Linked DNA regions of Kluyveromyces lactis. The protein of the gene in region 1 binds, or shares a complex with, the protein of each later gene. Links are inferred from orthologs where the notes say so. Each region holds a gene or a part of one and is shown on either strand. Other genes may lie near its edges.

Region 1 (6,511 bases):
AACAAGTTCCATTGTGATATTTGTTCTGCAGATTGTACAAACAGAGTCAGAATAACATGTGCGGTGTGTCCAGAGTATGATTTATGTGTGCCATGCTTCGCAAAAGGGTTATACAACGGTAAGCACCGGCCAAGCCATGACTATAAAGTGATTGAAACCAACTCATACCCGATTCTCTGTGAGGATTGGGGCGCTGATGAAGAGTTACTGTTGATAAAAGGAGCCCAGACACTGGGATTAGGTAACTGGCAAGATATTGCGGATCATATCGGATCTAGAGATAAGGAAGAAGTTTATGATCATTATTTGAAGTTTTACTTGAACAGTGAACACTATCCTATTCCAGATATCACAAAAGACATTAATGAACCGCAAGAACAATTTTTGGAGAAAAGAAAGAAACGCATGGAAAGATTTAGGGAAAGGCCTTTGGAACCTCCTAGGAAACCGATGGCATCACAACCGTCATGCCATGAAGTGCAAGGGTTTATGCCAGGTAGATTGGAATTCGAAACGGAGTTCGAGAATGAGGCCGAAGGTCCGGTCAAAGATATGGTCTTCGACGCCGATGATCAACCGTTAGATATTGAAGTGAAGTTGGCTATTCTTGACATCTACAACTCGAGATTGACGACTAGAGCAGAAAAGAAGCGTTTGTTGTTTGACAATTGTCTGATGGAATACAGGAGACTACAAAGTCTCGATAAGAAGCGTTCAAAAGAAACCAAAGATTTGTACAACAAAATTAAGGCTTTCGCAAGAATCATGTCCCCGCTGGATTTTGAAGAATTCAGCAAAGACATATTGGAAGAACTTCGGTGTCGAACAAGAATTCATCAATTGCAAGAATGGAGGAGCAACGGTATCACTACTTTGGAAGCTGGTCTTAAATATGAACGTGATAAACAAGCAAGAATTATGACATTGGAAAGATTTGGAAGTCAAGTGTACTCTTCTTCTTCATCTAGTAACACTGCCCGTTATAGAGCTACTTCGGCCCATAGATCGCAAGCTGATTATGCTCAAAATTATAACGAAGGAAGTGGACGTAAGAAACTAATGACTATCAGTGACATTCAGCATGGGGCAGATTTCCAATTATTATCAGCTGAGGAACAGCAGTTATGCATAACGTTGAAAATTTTGCCAAAGCCTTACATTGCCATCAAAGAGGTACTATTCAGAGAATTAATACGGACTGCAGGTCAACTCTCGAAGAAACAGTGTCGTGATTTATTGAATATCGAGGCAACGAAGGCCAACAGAATCTATGATTTCTTCGTTTCTCAGAATTGGGTTTAATTAGAGTTATAAAACTGTGGAAATATTGGCTCCACTGCTTACCTTACTACTTAATGTCAAATATGTACATAAAAATGTGTATACAGTGTCTCATTACAGTTTCTTGATAATAGCATTCAAAATAGCATACTTCGAATCAGATTTATCCATATTGGATAATAGATGTTGGGTCAAATAACCAGAATATAATGTAGTAAGTTGTTTGGCATTCGTCTCATCTAATTTGCTGATGTATGCAGAATACTTTTTGAAGGACAATTGGAGACTGTCGATGTTTAATTCGCCGGCAGGCATGAATTTGATATTTAATGTAACATCATGCAATAATAATTCCACATATTTTTCTGGCATACTTTTCTCAAGGGAAATATTATAATGTTCGTCCTTTAGCCATTGCAATACGTGATTTATCAGATATTCTCTTTTTAAATCTTGAAATTCCGAAAATAAGTTGATATACTCGAGGCATCTATCAAACAGGTAGGACATAACGTTTCTGCTGAGCTCTTCATCGACTTGCGAATTGGTAACGGCGTAGTATCCTTGATGTTTCTTGACAAAAGATGTGCCCAGATTCTTCATTGCGATATCGAATATAACCAATGCGACATCACCACGTAGTGCTGGATTAGTTTCTTCTGATCCAAGCATATTCATATCGGCTTCTGGTAACTCGTTTAGTTTATCTTTCATCTTGTCACCAGTACTTGGAAGTTGAATTCCGTCTTTGTCAAAGTATGCTTCGTCATCTGCAGTTTCTTCCAGACCTGTTACATTACTGGAGTTTCTTCCTTCCTCTTGCTGTTGTAGCATATCTAGCTCTTGTTCCCTTTCGTTGATTAAATTCATCACTTTTCTTCTATTTAACAATTTTGTCACGAAATTCAGTTCGAATTTAACGTACTCGTACCAGAGTTTAGAAGCATCTGGATTAAATCTAAGACCAGTTTGAAAAACATTTCTACAGCTCTTGAAGTTTGCGTGCAATTCGTATTCATATTTAGCACATGATATCCAAACGTCAACGTTTGTTGGATGTAATTTGAGCAATTGATTGTAGACGTTTTGAATCTTTTTATAAGAGGCATTTGTACCCTTTGATTTTAAATGATTCAAATATAAAGACCAAAATTTCAATTTTTTTGGGAACTTATTGCAGCCTCTTTGGAAAATATAGAGAATCCTCTGCTGTATGGTAAAATCCGAAATACTATTTGATTTGTTCGATTGCAAGATACGTTTAACACGTTTCATTCTTAATGCATCGACATTCTTCTCGTATTCAATATATCTGATGTAATCACTTATACTTGAACCTCTCGAACTCAATCTGTGTTCAAAATCAGTCCTTTTCTTCATAATTTTGTTTACTTCATTCTTAGTGAATAACTTCTTCTGCACTAAGTCATCAACTTCTGGAATACATTGTTCCAAGTAATATCTTGTTCTGGATGACATCGCCTTACTCTGGGTAGTTTTATGTTAAGTATTGATTAAAGTGTAATCACGGAGACTCGTATCGCTCGCTTACTGACAAAGGAAACGACTACTGGCTTTGTTCATGCTAAATAATACTGAGATGAGATGAGATGAGCCTTGAAGCTTTTGAATTTTTTTGGTTATATTGATTTCTTTTTCATATAATCAGTCAGAATAAAGTCCTCCATTTAAATAACCATCGATGAATAACAAAAGGACAAGTACAATTGTTGTTCTGCTAGCGTAAATCGGATTTTTTTTTACTGCAAATTGAATCCGCTTACATATGACATTCGGGACTACCATAAACTGCGACCCTTAATGTCGTTGTATGCTTTCATACAAGATGACAGTTTTGTTGATCGTTAATTCGGGCAATTTAACATTACCCGGATATTTTACATGGTAGACAAATTTTCGATAATCAAAAATCTGAATATGAAATAGGTTGAATACTAAAGATGATTGATTTGTTTGCGGTGATCAGACATAGGAGTGTCCAATTGATCCCCTTTGTATCGAGACATTAAGTCAGTGTATCAGAATCAGCCATGTTTTCCAAGAGACAAGGTTTGAATTTGTGCAAAAACGTATGTCAAACCCATTTTCATCACTGTTGCAATGGTAAAGCGCGGGCTTTCCTCAAACTGCATGATGATATCCTTCCGCATTAAGCAGTTATATCACCTACTTTTAGAAGATCGATTTACTAACTATTGCTCGTAATTTTTTGTTACTCTTTTCCCTATTCTCTACAGGTCCGTTACGTTTCCAACAAACCCCTTCCTAATGCTAGTCTACCGCCAAAATATACCTTAGCAACGGTTCGTTCATTCCCATCATTAGAACCATTGACATTTGCACCAGTGCCAACCTCAGTATTTGATGCTCCATTGAGAAGAGACTTACTATGGCGTGCTGTTGTTTACGAAAATGACAGTAAACGTGTTGGGTCTTCTAACCCCCCAGGCAGAAGTGATGTTGGTTATTCGAGAAGAAAGATTTTACCACAAAAGGGATCTGGTATGGCCAGAGCTGGTGACGCTAATTCACCAATAAGGCATAACGGTGGTAGAGCTCTAGCAAGAACTGCACCAAATGATTATACCACAGCGCTCCCAAAGAAAGTGTACTCTTTAGCATTCAATAACGCACTAAGTCATCAATACAGAAACGGTAACGTCTTCGTCATCGGAAGTGGTGACGGAATCTCCGAAACAAGCCAGGCTGATCTAAATGAATTGGAAATTCTTCCCATCGGGGAGGGCTCAGAAGATGGCGATATCGTGTTCGAAAAATTCCTAAAGCACTATGAGCTACAGAACAAGAAGCTATTATTCGTTATTAACGAACCAAGGCCAGGATTATTTTCATTTACAGAAAGATTCCAAGATAAAGTTAACATCGTCCAAAAAGAATTTGTTGATGTCAACGATCTACTTAAGGCTCACAGAATCTTTATTGAATTGGAAGCTTTAGAATACCTGGCTGTTACTCACGTTGTTTGATTATGGAACGAGATACTGATCATCAGACGGGAGTTAAAATAAAAGCTTCGAATAATAAACTCCACATTGCACCAACTCATCCACAACTTGTATATATATGTATGTGTGTATATTAACGTCACAAATAAAATGAAAATAGCTACACGGCTGTTTATCTAAGTTAGCGACATCCGTATTTGTAAAGACAATTGACCAATGCTGTGGCCATCATCAAGCTGTAAAATCCAAATCGAGGACAAACAGACGCAACCATTTCGGACTGTTGTCGGAAGCCTTATACACCCGTGCATTTTATTATTTTCAATGCGCCTATAACCGAATAATAGTTTAATTTTTCCTTTCCTTCAAGTTTCCTGATTAGGAAACCCATCCAACGTTTTTCAGACTTTGGGCTGAGTTTTCTCCGTGCCTAAGGAAAGACAGGGCATTAGGTGTGCCGACGCCTCGGTTCTTTCCAGTTTCTCCTCCCCGACAGAATTTCCATCCCCCTGATTCTGCTTCTCCTACCGACACCTTCTGCTCCTAGGCTGGGAACATGCACCACTAGACCGATCTTGCTCAGTGACAGAGTATGCTGGGCCTCTGTCCAGTTCTGGTTTGTGCGGTTGTGAGACAATCGTTCTATAGTGGTTTTACCGAATGGCAAGTTTGTATGGAGGGAAACCTTTGAACCTTTGCAAAATCATAGTGTTCAATTAGTGAAAAGCTACTTAACAATGATATATTAGTGTTATTATATTTAAATAACGGATACTTTATTATTAGGTAGTCGTTTTCGAAACAGAACGAGTAAGAAGCAAAGATGTCTCTAGTTGTTCAAGAACAAGGTTCCTTCCAACACATTTTGCGGTATGTTTTAAGATGAGAAACGTTTTAAGAGGATTACAACGAGGAAATTGAAATGAGATATGTTCAAGGGCAATGAATACGAGTATTATCAAGACAACACTACCGTGGTTATAAAGAGTTCCGAGGAGATGAAAGGTATTAGACAGCTTTATGAAAACATGCATTGCGCGTTACATTCGGTATATCATTTAGTGATGATGTTATACTATTAAAGTGAAGAAAATGAGAAGGAATACCACCAGATAGATGGTCCCACAATTTTTCCAAAGATCAAATCGAATTGAAAAGCTTACGCCCGTTAGTAGACAATATGCAGAATGTTGAACTCAAAAATGGATCTCCTTTCTGACATTTTACGTTAGGTCATCCAAAGTTTTATGTTGATTTAGGCATCGAAAACAATCAAAGTACCAAACTGCATAATCGAAGCAAGGAGAAGCATTTTGTGTTTATGGGTTTTCCTCCGTTGTCGCCCTCAGATTGACTATCATCAAATTTTACTAACATTTTTATTCCCATTATTTTTACAGTTTGTTGAACACCAACGTTGATGGTAACATCAATGTTGTCTACGCTTTGACTACCATCAGAGGTGTCGGTCGTAGATACGCCAACTTGGTTTGTAAGAAGGCTGATGTTGATTTACACAAGAGAGCTGGTGAATTGACCCAAGAAGAATTGGAAAGAATTGTCCAAATCATGCAAAACCCAACTCACTACAAGATCCCAGCTTGGTTCTTGAACAGACAAAAGGATGTCAATGATGGTAAGGACTACCACTCTTTGGCTAACAACTTGGAATCCAAGTTGAGAGATGACTTGGAAAGATTAAAGAAGATCAGATCTCACCGTGGTATCAGACACTTCTGGGGTTTGCGTGTCAGAGGTCAACATACCAAGACCACTGGTAGAAGAAGAGCTTAAACAAGAGAATGAGTTCTCTATTTTTAAAATGGTTGGTTTCTACTTTGGAATCTTGCAACCTTTCAAGGCACAAATGTTTTAAATTAGTGATACCAACTTTAATTTAGAATTTTTTTCATTATATTATCTCTTGTATAACTATCAAAACACTATACGTTCCGTATTAATTACATTATCTCAAGACTTATTATAATATGTCTTACAGCTGCTTGCTTGTGCAAAGTGATGATTGAATCATCCTGTCCATTTTTCTAGGATATCTTGAAATACAGGTTATGGCTTTTATAGTCCGAGCTAATGTTAAGCGGAGAGTAAGAATATATAGATATATCTATATACAGGTGGATGTCTTTCCTGTACGCAGGATAGTGTTACAATTGTCTTTGTATCGGTCTGCCGAGCGACCATGCTAAGGTTTGTCAGTTTGTCATCATTATGTCGTATTGATG
Region 2 (3,538 bases), on another chromosome or scaffold:
GAAGCTTGACAAGTCTTCGGATTCATTCAAAGTATATTCTGGGGGTGATGACAATGCTGTAGCCATCACTAAATTTACGAACAATGACAACTACACGATGAAAGCCGAAATACTAGATCACGATTCGTATGCTGCTTCATCAACAGTAACATCAGTGAATCTGTTAGATAATGACACAAAATTATTGGCTACATCAGTGGACCAGGTCATAAGAATTAGGGACATTACGAATGACAAACTGAAAATAACGGAGAGCAAATATACCACAGTAGCAGATACCGGTTCCAGTGATATAGTTACGTTACCAAACGTCCAGAAAACACTTATATTAATAGGAGGATTAGGACTTTCCTGTTGGCGAGATGAATAATATCTAACCATCTAAACTTCAGAATTTTATATATTTAAAACCAGTTTATTAGTATAGAATGGAAATTATTTATAGAAAGAAGGCTGCATTTTTCCACATTCAAGAAAAGAACACATCCTCCATTATGACTTATCTATATACATGAAAGATTGGGACGAATGGGAGGGCGATTGTAATTCAACCTTGACGTTGTTTATGCTTCTTATTGGACTTACAGTAAACGTACACTCTGCCCTTACGTCTAACCATGTAACAATCGTTACAGAACTTCTTGATGGAAGTTCTTACCTTAAAACCTCTGGTCAAAGGAGGGTTCATAAGACCCATCATTGGCATAGATAGCATATTGATACTTTTCACAGCTGGCCTTGTCAGTCTTGTCAACGAGTTCAACATCGTACTTCCGAAAAGTGTGCTCATTATGTATGTATTTCCCTCTCTTTATATTATATCGGGCTCCAGAGTTATACCTGTGAAGAGTTTTCAGTTTTTGATATCACCCACGGTCTTGAAACGTACTAATGGAGTCCACAATCGTCAATAAGGCATCACACCGACTGAACATGCCCTCTATAGCTGATGATCTACCATGAAAAGGCCTTCGATAATTTTTCAAAATAGTTTCAATGGAGATTAAGATATTTACCCGGACTATAGCACGTGATGGTTATGACCTGAGATCTTGAACATCCTCATCTAGTGAACATCTTTGGGCAAATCTGAAGACCGTTTCGAATCACTAACAAATAAATAATTGATGAAGTACACCCATCCTTTCTAAGAGACTCTTCAAGGCAGTTGTTTTATCCTTTTTCTCGGTTCTCACTGTATGTGCAGCAGCGCTCTGAATCGAAAACATTGAACTTCGAAAACGTAAACAATCGAATTTTAGATCAATATATTGACACACAAATACCGAATCATCATAAACTTAAGGACTAATATTTAGGTTAAGTTTCCATTTATTATCATATTTCACCCTGTGTTGATAGTCTCGCTTCATATGACAGATCCAAAACGATTGTCTTTGCTTCCGAGAAGTATCCTTAAGCAAAAATTTAAGGATGATGATACAACTAACACCAGTCATAATTTGACTATGTCCCAGATACAGTTTCCTACTGAGGGAATTACCAAAGAAGATATACTGGACGGAAACAATACGACATCCCGGATCAGTGCTGCGATTTCGAAGGGAAATCGCCGTGTGTCCTTTGCACCAGATGTGACTTTGCACAAGTTCGAATTCATACCACAATCGATTCAAAATGTAAGGGAACCTCGAAGGAAATCCGCTTTAAAATTGGAAGTGGCAGTAGCTGAAGCCTCTATGGCCGATACCAAAAATGATAACGACAATTCTGGAGAAACAATGGAATTTACTAGTCCGATAGGTTCAATATTCCAAAAATTGGAGTCTCCAAGCGAACCGAAAAATGATGGGTACCAACCTGTGTTCGACAAAGAGGTTTCAATGGATATAACACAGTTATTTGCAAAACATAGCGCTAAACCAGACGATAATGTGGTACCGCAAGAAACCTCTACTGCTGCGGAAGAAGAAGAAGAGAATGGTAACGAAGACCAAGTTTTGGAGGAAACAATGGACCTTACAGAACCGCAGAAACGCCGCTTTAACGAAGAAGAGTCTATGGAAATAACTGACCAAATACGGATGGATGCAGAAAAACCTACGCTAGATGCAGATTCAGAATCTGCTTTCAAATTACCTAAGATACCAGCAATTACAGAGGAAACAATGGAATTTACAAACGTGCAGGCTCCTCTGGAGATGCGAGAGTCACAGATAGTTTCTTCAACTCAACTAGAACCAACTCAACTCCCGCAGTCAAAAAGAAGGAAATTATCTAACGGTGGTTATCAGTCTCCGGTCAAATTGCAGGTACCAGTGCAAGTGCAAGAGACCCCTGAACAAAAAGAGAATATAGATGCGGAGCTCACAGAGATGGAACGATTATCGCCAATTCCGTTGGCAACAAATTCTTTACCAAAACCAAAAAATGTCGGCTCTCCCATACTATCCAAAACAAGTAAACATGTTCTATCAGACACTCAAAGTCAATCGGGACCAATCTCCTTGCAGACATTTTTTGATGCTGCTAATATAAAATTCAACGTTGATACCCAAATAAACGAATTTCAAATCGATCTTAAGAGTACGAATAACATCGAACATGTCCCATCTAATATAATATACCAAGCGTTATATTGTAAGATTCCAATATTAGAGATTCAAGCTTTCACCGCAAAAGAACTAACCCGAAGAATTCTACAATCAAGGAATCTCTTAAAGAGTCTTCGAGAGCAGATTGCATCCAACGAACCCCCCAGGTTGATAAAAGAGTATTTTGAGGCAGATACTGATACCCGTTATGCTATTAACGAAAAGTTAGAATTAGTAACCATAATGGCTAGATTACAATCTGAAAAAGTCTGGTTTGAGTGGAGATCACAACATTTGAAAGGAATTAAAACAGTCCTGGAAGAAAATATAGCTATCTTGGTGGATGAAAATGCCCAGATCATGAAATACATGAATGAAATAAATGACGTGAAAATAAGAGTTAGTGACATCAAACAGGTGTTAATGAAAGAACTTGATGTTCTTCGGCAGCACAACGATGTTTTTAGTAACAAGAAAGAGAACATAACGACTCTCCTGAAAGTGAACAAATTGAAAGGAGACTTGAGGGAGAACATGCTAAAGGTGTCAGACTTGAACCAGCTGACCACTAAAAAAGATCAACTTACCCAAAAAATACAAGATGCAAAATTGGAGATGAGTAAAGTGAACGAAGAGATTGCTCAACTTCGACAGGACTTGAAACAAAGCAAAGTTTGCACAGAATATGATGTGGCAAAGCTTAAACTAGTCCATCAGCTTTACCAAAGCATTTCTGGTATAAAGTTCAGAAAGTTAGTTGGTCCAGTCCTATCTGTATCATTACATGACGACAAAGTTATTGTGACAGCTGATCTTTCAAAAATTGATCAACCGTCATGTATTTCATTCAGTATTAGAGAAGAACGAATAGACCAATTTGAAAGAGAATTTATAAACTGTTGGATCAACTCTTGCCAGCGAACCTTCATAAATGGACTACAGTGCATATCAAGTTTGCAACGTCAACTGATAGATCTTTCAAT

What was found.
Region 2: YML6 (region 1) and RTC6 share a complex: the UniProt entries of both Saccharomyces cerevisiae proteins name them as parts of the mitochondrial large ribosomal subunit. The link is inferred for Kluyveromyces lactis from reciprocal best matches to the Saccharomyces cerevisiae genes YML6 and RTC6.

The regions. Positions count from the first base shown.
Region 1 is NC_006038.1:118,532-125,042, forward strand, and holds YML6 (mitochondrial 54S ribosomal protein uL4m), read left to right. Parts: upstream 1-3,332; coding exon 3,333-3,371; intron 3,372-3,539; coding exon 3,540-4,289; downstream 4,290-6,511. Other genes in the region: chromatin-binding transcription regulator ADA2, read left to right, coding at 1-1,302; snoRNA-binding rRNA-processing protein UTP6, read right to left, coding at 1,396-2,760; RPS18A (40S ribosomal protein uS13), read left to right, coding at 5,092-5,138, 5,669-6,062; YHP1 (Yhp1p), read right to left, coding at 6,496-6,511. UniProt on the Saccharomyces cerevisiae protein: Component of the mitochondrial ribosome (mitoribosome), a dedicated translation machinery responsible for the synthesis of mitochondrial genome-encoded proteins, including at least some of the essential transmembrane subunits of the mitochondrial respiratory chain.
Region 2 is NC_006041.1:1,683,378-1,686,915, forward strand, and holds RTC6 (mitochondrial 54S ribosomal protein bL36m), read right to left. Parts: upstream 791-3,538; coding exon 548-790; downstream 1-547. Other genes in the region: tRNA (34-2'-O)-methyltransferase regulator RTT10, read left to right, coding at 1-370; kinetochore-microtubule binding complex subunit SPC105, read left to right, coding at 1,374-3,538. UniProt on the Saccharomyces cerevisiae protein: Component of the mitochondrial ribosome (mitoribosome), a dedicated translation machinery responsible for the synthesis of mitochondrial genome-encoded proteins, including at least some of the essential transmembrane subunits of the mitochondrial respiratory chain.